Linked DNA regions of Coturnix japonica. The protein of the gene in region 1 binds, or shares a complex with, the protein of each later gene. Links are inferred from orthologs where the notes say so. Each region holds a gene or a part of one and is shown on either strand. Other genes may lie near its edges.

Region 1 (8,368 bases):
TCACAAGAAGCTTCACGCTGCATTTTTATCATAAAAAATTTATTTACCATTGGTTGTTTTCTTGAACTTTTTGGGTTTTTGATGACAGCTCTTGAATTTTTTCTTTGAAGGGCCTGATTGTTTCTGTAGAAAGAAAAAGTCAATCAGCTTTTTCCAGGAACTAAACCCAGCCTTGCCCCCAGGCTGCTTAAAGAGAAATCAAGTGTGTTTTCCTTTACTAAGAGACAGAACAAGCACAGCCCAGGGCACAGGGTAAGCCAGGGTGTTTTCTTGCCCTGTCTTGTGAGTTAGCATCTCTGACACATATATGTTTTCATTAGATGCAAACAATGACCCTCTCCCCATAGAAATAAACAGCCTTAACTTTCAATGTTGATAATGATTAGAAAGGCTCCAGTCCCTCCCGTAGGGTTTCCTGAGAGAGTTTATTCACCCTCATGTATATAATGTGTCTGTTTCCCTCCTGTAAGTGCACCCAAAGGCAGGACCTGGTCAGCTCCTCAAGTGGAGGACTCCAGGACTTTGAGAGAGTTCAGCTTGTGTGTGTGTGGAGAGGAAGATTACAAAACCCACAGTCTCACTGTAAAGATAGTGCAGCAGGATTCAATTGAAGATATTTATACAGGAAGTAAGAAACCCAGTTGGAGCAGACAGGATAAACATTTACTGCTACTAATTCACACCTCAGGATGCAAGTCTGTGGCTGGCACATGGAGAAAGTATTCTCCTAAATAGATTTACACCTTCTGCTGATTCTCAGACAGGAACAGATCAGACAACCACCTACAGGATAGATGATGGCTGTTCATGCTCCCCATCTGCTACGCACAGCAATGACTCCTACCTTTCCCCTCTTGCCAGCTGCTTTGCTCACATCCATTCTTCCACCATCTCCATTCAGGTCACCGTTCTCCCTGCTCAGCTCGGCCCCATCATCCTCGCTGTCTGTTGCAAAACCATCGTTGGCCTCTGTGTTTTGTGGAGCTGCTGGGCTTTTTTCTGGGAAGAGTCCAGCTAAAATACAAAGGTTTAGCTCAGGATCAGTTCTTTGTGCACACAGGCTCTGCTTACCCCGAACCTTATTTTCTACTCATCTAAGCTGACTTTGGCCTGCAAGGATCAGCCCATCATATACGTCGATACTGAAATACTCAGTAACAAACACGCTTAAGTTTTATTAGTAAAATGCCTGGGGCTTTCACTAGCCCAGTTCTGGGAACCAGGCAACACAGGCAGATCTGGGATCTCAAAGCTCTGCTCTCCTACAGCAAGGCAGCATTGTCCAGATGTGAGTGGAACAGCCTCACCAACTCCTGTCAGGCTGGAGGACTCGCTGAGAAACAAGGCAAACAGCGATATCTAAAGTGAAGACCCTCCCCTCATACCTTATGGGATCCAGCTCTGGTATTACTGTGTGATAACTGCTATTTCACATTCAGCATTGGCAAGCCTCTTCCAAATCCAAGAACCTCAAACTGGATGGAGGTCACATATCCAGAGTGTGAGCAGCCAGCAGCAGTAGAAAGGCTCTGTGAGAGAATGAGCTGACAGACTTGCTCTAAGATCGCGATGTTGTTACTCACGTGGGTACAGATCACTCATGCTGTCGTCCGTCTCCTCTCCATCCTCATCCTCATCCGTCCTGGGAGAGTCTGGCTCCCAGAATTCTTCTGTTCTGTGAGGTTGCCTGCTCCCATTCACCTGGTCCTCATCATGCTGTCTCCGCTGCTGCTTCTGCCTCAAGCAGGCAGGGACGTACTTCACCCCTTCCTTCTGGCACTTCTCATCTGAAGATGCAACAGATTGAGCAGCACTTAGCAAAGCAACCCAACCCTCGAGTCCTATTTACTTCCAGGCCCACATGCAACTCAGAAGCACGTCAAAACTTCAACAGCTCAGGGGACAAAGCAGCTTTAATGAAGGTACAGCCCACTCACATGCCTTCAGTGCCTTCTGATAGCGTTTCCCTTGGACGTGACGCAGGACGTGCTCTGGAAGCTTATTGATGTGTCTGAGGGTGAGTTTGCAGAACAGCTGATGTCTGAGACACACATACAGGAGAAAGAGCCACAAACACAGTTTAAACAAACTACTTAATAATAACCTTTCACTTAAAACGAACTGTGCTGTGTAACAAATAAAAGATTCATGTGCTCAGGAACTCCCTAAAGCTCAGCCACAGAGACTGAACACACCTGAATACCTACATATTCTTTGTGCTGGGCACTATATGCGGCTCGAAGCTGCTATAATCAAACTCTCTGGACGTCTTTATCAGCCGCCTGTACTTCCTACCGTCGGTGTAAGCCTGCAGCTCCTTCAGCCGGCACGGCAGCTCGTGGCCCGTCAGCCGGCACCGCACCTGAGAGCGAGGAACCTCCATTAGAGCCCAGCGATGAGCCGGGGGGGGGGCCCTCCTCAATAACCCAACCCTATTTACACCGCGAGAGAAGCCCCTCCGGCCTGAAGACTGAGATCAGCCTCGTTCCCCTCACGGCCCCAGCTCCACCCAACACCCCCAGCTCCATCCTCGGACCGATCCTGCCCACCTTGCCCGACTCCTCGATGCTGAGCAGCGGGTGCTGCCGCAGGAACAGCCGCACCTCGTCGGGCACCTCCGGAACCACGTCGGCCATGGCCACGCCGAGCTGACAACCGCAAGGACCGATCTGACCATAGAGAGGCGCTGACAGACAGGAGCCGCCTCACTTCCGGTACGGGTTCCGGTACCATAGAGAGGGGGAGCTAGAGGGGAGGGGACAGCCTGGGTGGTGGGGGGGTGGCGGTGTTGCTTCATGGCGACGTGGGGGCTGATGCTGCGAGCGGGGCCAAGGCTGCTGAGGGAGCGAAGGGCCCGGGTGAGAGCTGAGGGCAGCGGGCAGGGCCGGGGTGGGCTCTGAGGGGGGCAGACAGGGTCTGTGAGGGCTCTGAAGGGGATGGGAAGGGCCCCGCTGGGCACCGAGTGATGAAGAAAGAAGTGAAGGCGCTCGCCCAACATTTATATAAAGGCAAATTACAGCATTGGATGTTGTATTGCTCCCTTAGGTATCGCTTTGCTTGCTCAGAAGGACGTTGTTTGGATTGCCCCGAACCAAAGTGGGTTCTGCAGTGACCCAGCAGAGAGGTGAGCAGAGATCTGTGTGGGGTTCTGTCGCTTTCAGCCTCACACCAGTATGATGTTTCCTAAGGAATTTAGCACCTCTCCTCCTGTTCCTGTCCGCTGCCTCATTCTGGCTCTCTGCAGATGTTTGCCTGAGGCTCTGCAGCCCACGAAGCTCCACAGCAGCCACCGGTGCATCTAGTGAGGACATCTGGCTGAAGTGGGGCCTCCTCCTCGTGCCCCTGACTGCATTCTGTCTCGGCACATGGCAGGTATCAGCATGTATTTCATTCATCAGAGATGAGCACTTTGGGGCTGTAAGGTTTCAAGCTTTGTCTGTTTGATATAGATCGTACCATAGGCAGGGTAAAGAACAGGAATTACTGTTGTTTGTGTACTTCTAGATTCAGCGTCGAAAATGGAAACTAGATTTGATCGCACAGCTGGCATCTAGACTTTCATCAGAGCCCATCCCTCTGACATTAGAGTAAGGAAGCTGAGAATTCCATAGTGAAATCCACCCATGTAATTTGCCTATCACAGGTGTGATTTTCATTTCATCTTGCTCTCTGCAGCCCTATGGAGTTGAAGGAATTGGAGTACAGGCCTGTAAAGGTCCGAGGGCATTTTGATCACTCCAAGGAGCTCTACATTTTACCACGGTCACTTGTGGACCCTGAGCGAGAAGCCAGAGAAGCTGGAAGGCTGACATCCCATGCAGAAAATGGAGCAAACGTCATTACTCCTTTCTACTGCACGGATCTAGGGTGAGTTAAGGCTCTCCCTTAAAATGCATCTGTCTCTTAGGTGCTTGAGTCTTGATTCCAAATTGTATTTGCAATTCCTCATAGCTGTAGACAGCAGCACGAATTTTCTTTAATTCACAAGGCGTTTTTCTCCTGTTTATGTAACTCTAGGGTCACGATTTTAGTCAACAGAGGATTCGTGCCCAAAAAGAAACTGAAACCAGAGACCAGGCTGAAGGGACAGGTAAGAGGGATACAGGGAAACCTTGCATGTTACTTTCTAACCTCTTGCCCACTTCTAACAAACAAAGACAGGCAGCAGACACATTCAGCTTCCTGAGTCACTGCGCTTCTTAGAGGTGCCTTTTCTCGAAGCCTTTGATTAAGGAAATAAGGCATCTGCCTTTTTCCCTGCTGTATTACAGCACTGTACAGCACAACCTGCTGGCTGACTTGTAACCAGACCTGCAGGTGATGTACTACCAGGTCCTGGTATGTTAAGAAATGAATCCCAAGAGATTCCTTTTTTTCTTCTTGTTTCAGATTGAAGAAGAAATCGATCTCACGGGGGTGGTGAGGTTATCAGAAAAAAGGAAACCTTTTGTGCCTGAAAATAACGCTGAAAAAAACCGCTGGCACTACCGTGACCTGGAGGCCATGGCAAAGGTGACCGGTGCTGAGCCCATCTTCATTGATGCAGATTTCAGTAAGTCACAGAGAAACCCAAATCCACAACCAACTGATGACAGTCTCCCCCTTTTCCCCATCATGTATTTCTCCTAAGGCTTTTTGAGAGGTATTGTACTAAGTTCACTGTACAGGGTTTTGAAGGTACAGCTGCTGGCTTTGCTGCTAACTTGGGAACACCGCTGCCCAGAGAAGCGGGCAATCTTTGTGACCTACATCACACCGAGCTGCTCACTTGGCAGAGCATGGGCAGCTCAGGGCTTTGCAGACCAAACATCTGACGCTGTGCTGTACCTACAGGAAGCACAGTCCCAGGAGGTCCCATTGGAGGCCAGACAAGAGTGAGCCTGAGAAACGAGCACATGCAGTACATCATTACCTGGTAAGCTACCCAGGCAGCAGCGTCTGACCTTTGTTTTCTGAACATGAAGCCTTAAAATGCTTTCTGTTGAATCCACTGAAAGCAGGGAAATAATTTTCCCCCCAGCATTCTTGCTCCCGTATCAGGGGGATTGATGAGATCTTCAGCTGCAAACTGTTTGTATATGTTTGGATGATGTATTTTCTCACTCCTTGTCACAGGTACGGCCTGTGTGCTGCAACTTCCTTCTTGTGGTACAGAAAATTCATACGAAAAGTACCTGTATGAGGGGAAGGATTCATTCCTGCTCTCCTGTAATACAGACAAGACTGCAGCCAGATCAATCCTGAAGAGCTCAGTCTCAGGGCATGGGACGTAACAGCTGATGCTGGCAGCAGTTTGAACATCAGGATTAATGGTGGGTGTTGACACACTTACTTACAACAGCTTTGTGATCATCTGAAGGATGCATTTTTCTATTGTATTTGGGTAGTTTGGTCACAAGCTACAAAACCTTTTCTTCTCCACTGCTGTATTTTCTATATTCAGTCTAAACAAATCAGGGCAAGGGATTTGATCAATCCCTATTTTTCACCTAGCAGTCGTTCCTGAAGCCAAGATGGGGGCACTGCAGTTCCATCAGGATAAATAAAACAGGCCTGTTAGTATTTGCCTTGTGATTTGTTGCATATCTTACAACTTAACAAGGGGACAGATCTGAATTAAATGGAACAACTGCAGACTCCAGTTTGACTAAAGAGAGTGTGTAGCTTTACAACATTATCGGGGCTGGCAGAAATAACTAAGAGCTGCCTCAGCTTGGGCTGACAAGAATGCCACAAGACCAAAGCCAACAGTCAGCAAAGAGCTGGAGTAGGGTTAGATACTTCTTCCACTCCTTTAGTGTGCCTTCACTGTCTGGTCTTGTCATAAAAGAGACATTACAAACCTATAAAGGTCCTGATTTGCTTAGTTCTTTTAAGTGTCACAACTACACAAACATGCCTTTATTAAATCCATGCAGTAATTAAGGCTAGGCACTAATGATTTACAGCTATTTCCAAGTCAGATATCTGCATTCCTAAGCTAGGCTTAAAGCCAGAAATAGCCTAGCTTAGCCCATTCAGTGTAGGAGCACCAGTATGTGCAGCTGTGGGTCTATGCTTAAAGGAGGCAAACAGATGGCTAGCTTAACAGCCAAGGGAAACTGTTCTAAGGGAAATAATGTGTTCTTTGCTGCCTTCTATGCTGTTCTATCCAACCCTTTGGATAAGAGAAGGCGGGTAATGATCATTCGCAACCCACTGATTGCAACCCTCATTAATAAGAGACCACTAAAATTTGATCTGGGGATTTATTCTTTTTATGTACACAAACCATGGTACCAAATCAGTACATCTTTAGCCCAGCTTAGTAGCCAGTTCTTTAGCCTTTGCTTTTTCAAGCTTGGCAATGCGAGCAACAGATTTTGGACCCAAGACGTTACCACCCCAGTGACGACGGATCTGCAAAGAAGGAAGAACAAGTTGAAGTTAAGAGTCTGCATACATTCAACTGTGCTCAGTTCCAATCCTTCATGACAAAAGGTTGAACTCCTACTCACTCATTTTTAAAGCAGTGAATTACATTCTGGGAGCAGCACAGATACGACAATTGAAAGCCTTTCCCTATCATGAGATTTGCTTCAGGACTTCAGGGATGGAATCACGTCTAGCTGAAGCAGATCTCTTTACATTCATGTCCTTGCATTAGGCTCTGTTTACCTCTTTCTTGGTGACAGTGTTCACTTTGTACCCCATCCTCAGGTAAACTATCTGAATACCTAAAAAACCCCTAGCTACAGTCTACACCCAACAGGCCTTAAGCTGATCTCACTCCAAAACAGAAATCTGCATCTTACTGAGAAACTATTGGGGATGTTCATAGTATGAACCTGAAAGACAAGGGCCACACATCTTACCTCATCATATCTGTCATTGTAGTTGGTCTTAACAGCCTCCACCAGCTTTGCAAGGGCACCCTTATCCTCCCTGTTGGGGACAGATGCATTTCTTTAGAGCATCAGTTTAATGTTTTCTGTAAGTCTTCTGTCTTGGAATTAACTCTTAATACGAACATCATTTTTCAGGTTAAGTATAACAAAAGGTTAATCACAAAAGCCATCAATGCTTAGAGTTCAGCTTATACATTTAATAATAACGCCCTATTTAATAAGCTAAACCTCTAGCTTCAGGATCTGAAGCAAATCAGCACACAGAATACTTACGGGTTAACTTGGGTGAAAGCAACACAGGTACAAGTTTTCCTGTGCACCAGTCGCCCCAGCCTGGCCTTGCTCTTGATGATGCAGTATGGCACCCCCATCTTGCGGCACAGAGCTGGCAAGAAGACCACCAGCTGAAAAGAGACAGAGCGTGCTGTATTGCTGGTACAACATCTTAGTAGCGTTTCAGCTGGCCTGGGCTGTGGCAATTGCTCAGTGTTAAAAAGCTCGTTTTGCTCTTCATTATTGATTCAGGTGAAGAAATTCATACATCATCGCAAGGGCCAAGCCTCATTCTAAGTCCAAGGAAAGTTTGAACGTCCATAAGCATTTGAGTTCCAACCTCAAGTGGAGTTATACAGGCAGCCTCTACCGTGCTTACCTCAATAGGGTCTACATCGTGGGCGATCACCACAAGCTGAGCTTTCTTGTTCTCTACCAGAGTCGTGACAGTGTTAACACCTAAAAAACAAATTATACAAGTCTGTTTCAAGTCAGTCTTTTCACCAGAGCTTTCACGTAAGCCTCATAAAATCAGCTGCTTTCACAGCACACCTTTCAGAATGAGAACTTTTCATATCCACTCAGTAGCACAGAGTAAGATATTCCATGGACAATTTGCTAAAGCTCAGGGTTAAAAAGCTCGTCTATTTTGCTCTTCACTTGGAGCTCAGGTGAAGAAATTCATACATCACTGCCATAGCATGTCCAATCCTGTTTGGCTGGAGCAGAGCACCAACTTTTCCCATCAGTTTTCTCTCCAAAAGACCACATTCCCATATATGCAAGTAGGAAAGTTCATGTAGACCTACCTGCCCGGAGAACTGGTGGTCTCTTAGTTGGAGTATCTCCCTTTCCTGCAGCTTTCTGCTCAGCACGAGCCAGCAGCCTCTGCTTCTTCTCTTGCTTAGTTTCCGGTCTGTATTTGTGCGCCAGCTTCAGAAGCTGCGTGGCTGGAAGTGAACATGAATTAATTAGTAAAATAACATGGAAATCTCAGTGTTTTAAAGGGCTCGTGTGCATCAAGAAGCACCCACTGAGGAATTCTTGCTTTACATCCTTACGTGGGACCTCTGATACTTCCCACCTCCCTTTTCAAAACAGTAATTTAGGGCAGCAAACTCACAAAGCTCGCTGTTCCCATTATCAGTCACTATTAAAGCCTCCCTAAAGATCTCCCAGACAGCAGCGTCTTATTAAATAACGTCTTC
Region 2 (7,102 bases), on another chromosome or scaffold:
TGAAGAACATATTGATAATGTAATAGAATGCTACTTATATTGCTCTGAGCTTGTGCTGCTTCATAAGCTTTAGCTACTCAAAGTATCCTCAGAGCTCTGCATATGCATTTGGATGCTTTGGGGTCTGAAGATAAGCCACATATCGCATGAGAGCTGAGAAATCAAGCCTGGTTGTTAATACATACCCCTGAGCACAAGTTACTGTGTCCTTCCAACTAAGTAATTAACTAGTCAATTTAATTGCAGCTTTTTGGTGTACTTTCATATGGTACATTTTCAAGTGGAATGTGGTAATAGAACCCGCGTATAATGTTAGGAGTTGTGTATGTTTAAAGGTTCACCAGTAACGTGTTCAAATGGGTAAGATGTCAGTTATTTGCAATGTTTTGCAAAGGTGAATTTAAGTTTGGCAGGATAATGACACACCACTGTCATCAACACTTTGAGCACGAGAAGTGTTGTGGGTCTTTTTGTAGGTTAATAATTAAAAGCCTCCTATAGACTGGGCTTGCTTGCTGCTGTTGGGTCACTTTCAAGTCACGGGTGTCCATGATTCTAGGAGGTATGCTTTGCCCCACTGACGTTATAGTTAGATTAATGCCTATTTTAGAGGGGAAAGGACAAAGGTCCGAGCAAAAGGTAGCATTTTTTCTTGATGGTTTTTGTAGGCAGTGATCTCTGGCTTTTGGAGGGCTTGAAGAATATGCCCTATGAGGAGCAACTGGGGGAACTGGGGCTGTTTAGCCTGGGGAAGAGGAGGCCAAGGGGAGGCCTTATTGCTCTCTTCCAGTATCTGAAAGGCATTTAAAGTGGGAGCGGTGTCAGGATGAGGGGAAATAGCCTCAAGTTGTGCCAGGGCAAGTTTAGGTTGGATATCAGGAAAAACCTTACACAAAGGGCAGTTAAGCACTGCAGTGGGATCCCCAGGGAGGTGGTTGAGTCAGCATTCCTAGCCGCTCTAAAAACCATTTGGATGTGGTACTCAAGGACATGATTAAGCAATGGGTTGTTAGAATTAGGGTAGCATAGTGAGGTTGTGGTTGGACTTGACTTGATGATGTTTAAGGTCTTTTCCAGCCTGAGCAATTCTATGATTCTATCCCGTTCTATGCCGTTTACCATTTGCATTAAGTTTTGATGTTACCGGATTAGCTGTAAGTAAGTATTACTAAAGATGTTTGAACATAACGATTTTTATATGACCTAAATCTGATGCATTTAAATAATTATCAAGAAAATCTTGGATATGAAGAAATAGGTGGAATTCTGGAAAAGGACTTTGTTCTTGATTTGGTTGCTGGTTATGTTGGACTTTATCTCCGTACTTTTCTTTTTCCACCTGTTAAATGCAGATAGTTGCTAACCTAGAGTCCTCATAAGAGATAGATGATTGTCTCTCCTCCCTTATATATTCTGTTGTTCCAAAGATCATAATTCCAAGAACTTTGAAGGTGATATTTTCAGGGACAGTGCTCCTTTCTTGGCCATTTGGACTTACTTTAAAGAAGTTCAGTATCAAAGAACACCCAGAGGCTGCCACATGACACAGAGAAGATGGCAGTCCTCTGTGGAGTACTGTAGTGCCATAGAGCACAGTGTGGCAGTCCCAGCTGATTAACTAACTAACTGCTGCACTCCAGGAGAGAATCATGTCCTCACAGTTTCTTACCTTGTATCTCAAAGATGCCTTCTCAGAGGTGATTGATTGGCAGTGACATTCCTTTGAGACAGTAGTTGCTGTCACTGTTACTACACTCTTAATTTGTAGATGTAAATGTACTTTAATTACTCCAAAATAATTATTTCATTGAAGAGGAAATGCTGGCAATCCTGGCTTACCTAATTTTTCATGCTTCCTTTTGTTTTGCTGCGGTAGCCCTGAATAGTCGGTATGAAAAGCAGTCTAAGAATCATGGATTTGCTGCAAGAGTAGCTTCATAAATTTGTTAGTATTAGCTACAGCAGCGTATGCACACATTGTACGATATTAGGGGAGAATCCTAATTAAAATCTTGTTGCTCAACAAGCCACAAAGACCTTATAAATAGCATGAGGCTCCAGGCCAACTACAGCAATGTTAGTAATAAATCAGGTCTGATTTGTGAGGTGTTTTTTATTATTTTTACTTTTCACTATTTACTATATATATATACTATATATATTTACTATTCACTATTCCATACTTTTCCATGGAAAAGCATGCACACAGGGATTTTGATTTCTTTATTTTACAGTCATTTTTCTAATTCTGATGTTTTTGTTTTTCTATAGCATTTACTAAATGCTGCAAAGAAACTGGTTTTCTTATGGTGGTGAAGTGTCGGGAAGAGAACACAGCACTGAAAGATTGCCTCGTTGGCTAGTAAGTCCTTTCTGAGCCTTTGTTTTGCTCCATGTTTTTGGCTGTTCTAATGTAGAACTGAATAGAAATGCTAAATGTTCTAAAAAGGGCTTTGCTAACCTTGTGACTTTGGTTTTTTTCTGAAGATCATATCATCTTCGCTTTAGAAGAAAGGATGGTGGTCATGGGTTCTACCTGACAAGACTTAATTTCAGAAATAAAACTATCCTATGGCTAAAAAGGCCTCCTTGCATTTAAATAGTGCTAACGGATCCAGAATCTCAGCCCCAATGAAATGCAGCCCTGTACTCAGTGTGCTGAATTGGGGATGTGGGTGAACAGTGGAAGCACCTTCATATTCTGTTACAGAAACAGGATTAGATCATTCTGGTTTTACTTCTTGTACTGTCTTTCAGTATTTAGTCTTTACTTCAAAAGCATCCAGCAGTTGTTATCTGCAGTAGGAAGTTGTTAAAGAGGGTGACGTGATGCCATGATGGATTGAAATGTCTCTATTTGAAGTCTAATGTCCCTGCAGTGTCACTAGGCCAAAGTTATTCTTGAATTTCTTATTGTGGAGTTTGTGTTCTCTGAACATTATGTGGGTATGGGTGGATTGGGTTGTGATAGAATGCATGTCATATGTACACTGCTAAACCAGAGGTTAATGTTTAATGCCTTTAATGTAGTGATAGGTGGAGTTACTTGTTTGAGAATTGATGAAAAAAAGGTACAGCTACACAACAGACTTGAACCTTCAGAGTCAAGCTAGAGACAAAGACAACCTTTCTCTTGATAATGTCAAATCCTATGCCAGTTTGAAGACTATGGAGCACAGGGCCAGTTCTGACTGGATTATCCTACTACACCTACCATAGTCTGAAGGTGGCATCTTCTGACTTCCATCTGTTTGGGCTGATGAAAGATGGACTGCATGGACAACATCATAGCAGATGTGAAACAGTGCAATCATAGCAGATGTGAAACAGTGCAGACTTTTTACAAGTATAACATGACGTGCAGGCTTTTCTTCATCTCTGGTTAAAACTACATAGCTAACAGAAGTGACTACACGCAAGATAGCATTTTGTAGCTTAGAATTTTCTCTATCAAATAGCATTATTGTGTTCTTTATGTCTGTTGTAGTTTCCCTGGAAATAAATAGAAGACATTACTTTTGGATCTACCCACACACATTTACTGTTCAAGATGCAAACTCAAAATCGTTCCCCTAAAATTCATGTTAGGTTCGCAGGTGCATAAAGATCAGTGCTCTCCAGAGACTTATTTGCAGATAGGTTCCTATGTATAAGAAAAAATTATTTGGCTCTACTGAATGAATATTTCCCTTTCTTTGCTTTCCTCGTTATGGTTTCTCTGCATAGGCCTGAAGAATGAGAACTATGCCTCAAGAAAGAGTGTGCTCAGGAGAGAACACAGACCAATTCAGTATTTAGAGTTTAAGATGATAACTTTGGGTGGGACTGAAGAGCAGTTTTGAGTGCTGTTAATACAGTTTCTATTCTGTTATTCTAATAATGTTCATCTTTCTTTTAGCTATTCTGATCCATCATTCTATGAAGAATGCAAAGCAGAATATTTGAAGCAAAGAGAAGAATACAGAGCAACTGGAATTAAGAAAAAAAGGCAAAAGATTACTTCAAATATATAGTTAAAATTTAAAATGAACTGTTACAGTTTTATATCCAACTTAATGATTTGACTTGATTTAAACAGACTTTGAAATCATCAGTATCTTGTGGTAAAATTTAGCAGCAAGTCAGTAAAAGAAATATCTCTGAAGCTGAAGGTTCTCATTTTCTGTACTCAAGTTTATAATGCATGCAATTTCTCTTGCAAACCTTGACAGCAAAAACCTGCTCCTCCATCTGGACTTGAGATTTTGTTACCAATTAACAAACAGCCTTTTGAAATTTCAAGCTTGTATCTAGTTATACGTGGCAGGCTACATAAAAATTTAAGGGTGAACAAATGTGAGGTATATATGAAAACTAGTCTCTTCATCACCTGACATTGAAAGTACCTGGAAATATTTTTGATGCTCTTACTAGATGTGTGGTAAATGCAGAAGACAAGACCTTCTTGGACCAATTTACTTTTTCATGAAAGCACTGAGTTGTAAGAGCTCAATATTGCTTCTACCTGCACTGTGACTTAAATTCTGAGATTACAATATGAAAAGAGATGGATGTTTCATGTCTTTGTATGGCACAACTGACTGCTTCAGCTTCAGAGTCAGCTCCAGAGGAGAACTCAAGAGTTGTCCCATACGGCCTTTCCTTGAGAGTAGGAACAGGGCAAGAAATCACTGAGAAATGTCTTCCCCCACTATCATTTTTTCATCATGAAGATTATATACACTTCCATACTTCAGGAGCGACCACACTTGCACAATGATTATGGATGAGTAAACAAGTGAACTACATTCTTAAGATGCAGGTCAGTTTTTAAACATCTATTAATACTGTTGCAAAAACTAACCATAAACAAGGCCCTATATGGAAAGGGACAAGGATTTCTTGCATACAGATACTTAAAACTGCATAATTGTAGACCACTAAGTAGTATGAGTATGGAAAGGCCACACACAGGGTATTTGTTCACATAGTGAATTTCTTGTCACGATATTAAAAATGAAATAGAAATATCTTTTTCCTAATTAATAAATTTTGGAACATTTGCATTTAACTTAGGTACTATTTCACCACAAAACTATTACTGCTGTGAAGTTACTTAAGTGGGAAATTTCAATCAGACTTTGATATACTTATATATACATACATACACACACAAGCTGAAGTTAACTTTCAAGGTTACTCCTTGCTTTTGCTCTGTGCATTGTGATGGTACAATCAGTAATATTACTTCTGCTATGAGGCAGCACACTGTCTGAAAGTTTAGGGAATGCTTCAGAAAGACAGACTTGAAGATGTACCTGTATTCTAGGTAAGTAGACAAGTGGTATTCAGATGTTTAATTAGCTAACTTAGATGATGACTTTTACTGTTAAAAGTTTATTATTTTTTCAAGAAAGTTCTGTTATTTTAGTATGAAAACTGGCTACACTTAGAAGCCCCTGGAGAGAGAGCCTGTGTTTGTCATTTTTATCAAAGGCTCTTAGAGTTTGGTTCTGGGGTAAGCACATAGAAGCAGTGTGGTACACTGCCTGTGGTAGGTAGGTGCCAGCACTGAGGGCTCATAGGAATCTTGTCTCACTCAAGCTCACACAACAGCCAGTCAGTACAGATAATAGCACAGCAACACAGTCACTCTTTTGTGGCTTAGCAGAACCTACATTCAGCAGGTGGCAGGAACCCCAGTGCACTGATTGGTGCTGGTGATAGAAATAACATGGATAATGGGACAAAGTCCTTTTTTACCTGCAGGTGTTACTCCTCTGCCATTTTGTTACATGCTTCATGTGCACGGCTATAACCAGTCCCTTTGAGCTGACAGTAAGCAAGCTCACTTTACTATCAAGCCTGAAATTGCTGTAAATCATTCACTGTATGCCATTCACTTCTCTTTACCGACACATGTTTAAGAACCAAGTACCCACACCTTCCCTTGTTTGCTGTGGCATTCAGAACTGGGCTCAGCCCTTACCTATGAAATCAGCTTACTCTTTTTACACTCATAGCCTTCATTTGCTTTTTTCCTAGTTTTGAATTCTTGATTTCACACCTTTCGTGCTTTTAGTATATTAATTGCATTTACATCTTTTAAAGTTGAAATGAAAGTATGTAAGTGCTGTGCAGTGACACACACATACTAGTAAACTGCTTCAGGGCTTGTTTTAATTTGAGCTGCAACCTCTCCTTCCTACTCAGGTTAACAGGAAGTAGCCCTTGATTCTAATACAGGTAGTAAAGCATCAATAGTACCAATAAAGCCTTAAGCTATGCTTAAGTGAGAAGCAGGCTTGCTATTTGACTACACAACAAAACACTAAGCACACTCAGCTGTCTTACTCTGACTGACAGTAGTCAGACGTGGGTGATGAGGAAGTTGCGTTACTTCTAAGCAGAAGCCTGCAGCAAGTTACGAAGCTTCCACTGTAACTACTTTCAAGGGGACCCACATGCTGCTCCAGTTTAAAAACCATCCACCTTGTGGCACTAAAGACATAATTCTATCAGTGGTAATGACTGTCAGTATCAGTTCTGGCTGTCGGCCCCCCGAAAAAAAGTCAAATACAGTTGAAACAAATGGTTCATCCACTCGCAGTTTAGTAACAATAAGTGCCTGGTTATTTTTCATGCTTCTCCCCTGGATCAAACCCCATACTCAAAAACACCATCACCCCAACTACTACAGCATCCTCTTCCATTAAAAACACAGGTGTCTAAGATTTCCAAAGTCTACTGCAAGGAGTTTGAGATTTAATCATACCTTCTTTACATCTCTAATACAGCTCATATGCTATTATTTGCATTGGCTTCTGTTTTACTGTACCTCCACCAGATGTCCAGTACACAGCTTGCCTTTTTCCTGCTGTACAAGTTCGACAGCACATTACAGCTCATTTGAGAATTTGTTTTTCCTCAGTATGGATATTTCATATGGGAAAAAAACCACAATCTGTCATAAACACAATAAAACTGGTAGGGAGACTTAAAATGATGAGATTTCAAAAATACTTAAAAGGAATCGAGCAACCATGGAAGTTTACATACACATTATTAGAAGGTTAGTCCAACTCTGAAAGCACTCAAATACATATTCATCAACTTGCCATAT

The links. The genes of interacting proteins can lie anywhere in the genome.
Region 2: surfeit locus protein 1 (region 1) and CMC1 share a complex: the UniProt entries of both Homo sapiens proteins name them as parts of the MITRAC (mitochondrial translation regulation assembly intermediate of cytochrome c oxidase complex) complex. The link is inferred for Coturnix japonica from reciprocal best matches to the Homo sapiens genes SURF1 and CMC1.

What each region holds. Positions count from the first base shown.
Region 1 is NC_029532.1:5,410,457-5,418,824, reverse strand, and holds surfeit locus protein 1, read left to right. Parts: upstream 1-2,729; 5' UTR 2,730-2,795; coding exon 2,796-2,858; intron 2,859-3,045; coding exon 3,046-3,124; intron 3,125-3,244; coding exon 3,245-3,372; intron 3,373-3,504; coding exon 3,505-3,587; intron 3,588-3,675; coding exon 3,676-3,867; intron 3,868-4,017; coding exon 4,018-4,090; intron 4,091-4,389; coding exon 4,390-4,552; intron 4,553-4,833; coding exon 4,834-4,915; intron 4,916-5,115; coding exon 5,116-5,182; 3' UTR 5,183-5,562; downstream 5,563-8,368. Other genes in the region: SURF2 (surfeit locus protein 2), read right to left, coding at 40-123, 845-1,014, 1,584-1,787, 1,938-2,041, 2,208-2,362, 2,550-2,636; RPL7A (60S ribosomal protein L7a), read right to left, coding at 6,295-6,399, 6,855-6,924, 7,161-7,291, 7,540-7,619, 7,970-8,110. UniProt on the Homo sapiens protein: Component of the MITRAC (mitochondrial translation regulation assembly intermediate of cytochrome c oxidase complex) complex, that regulates cytochrome c oxidase assembly.
Region 2 is NC_029517.1:35,702,757-35,709,858, forward strand, and holds the end of CMC1 (COX assembly mitochondrial protein homolog), read left to right. Parts: intron 1-2,271; coding exon 2,272-2,362; intron 2,363-3,898; coding exon 3,899-4,013; 3' UTR 4,014-5,050; downstream 5,051-7,102. UniProt on the Homo sapiens protein: Component of the MITRAC (mitochondrial translation regulation assembly intermediate of cytochrome c oxidase complex) complex, that regulates cytochrome c oxidase assembly.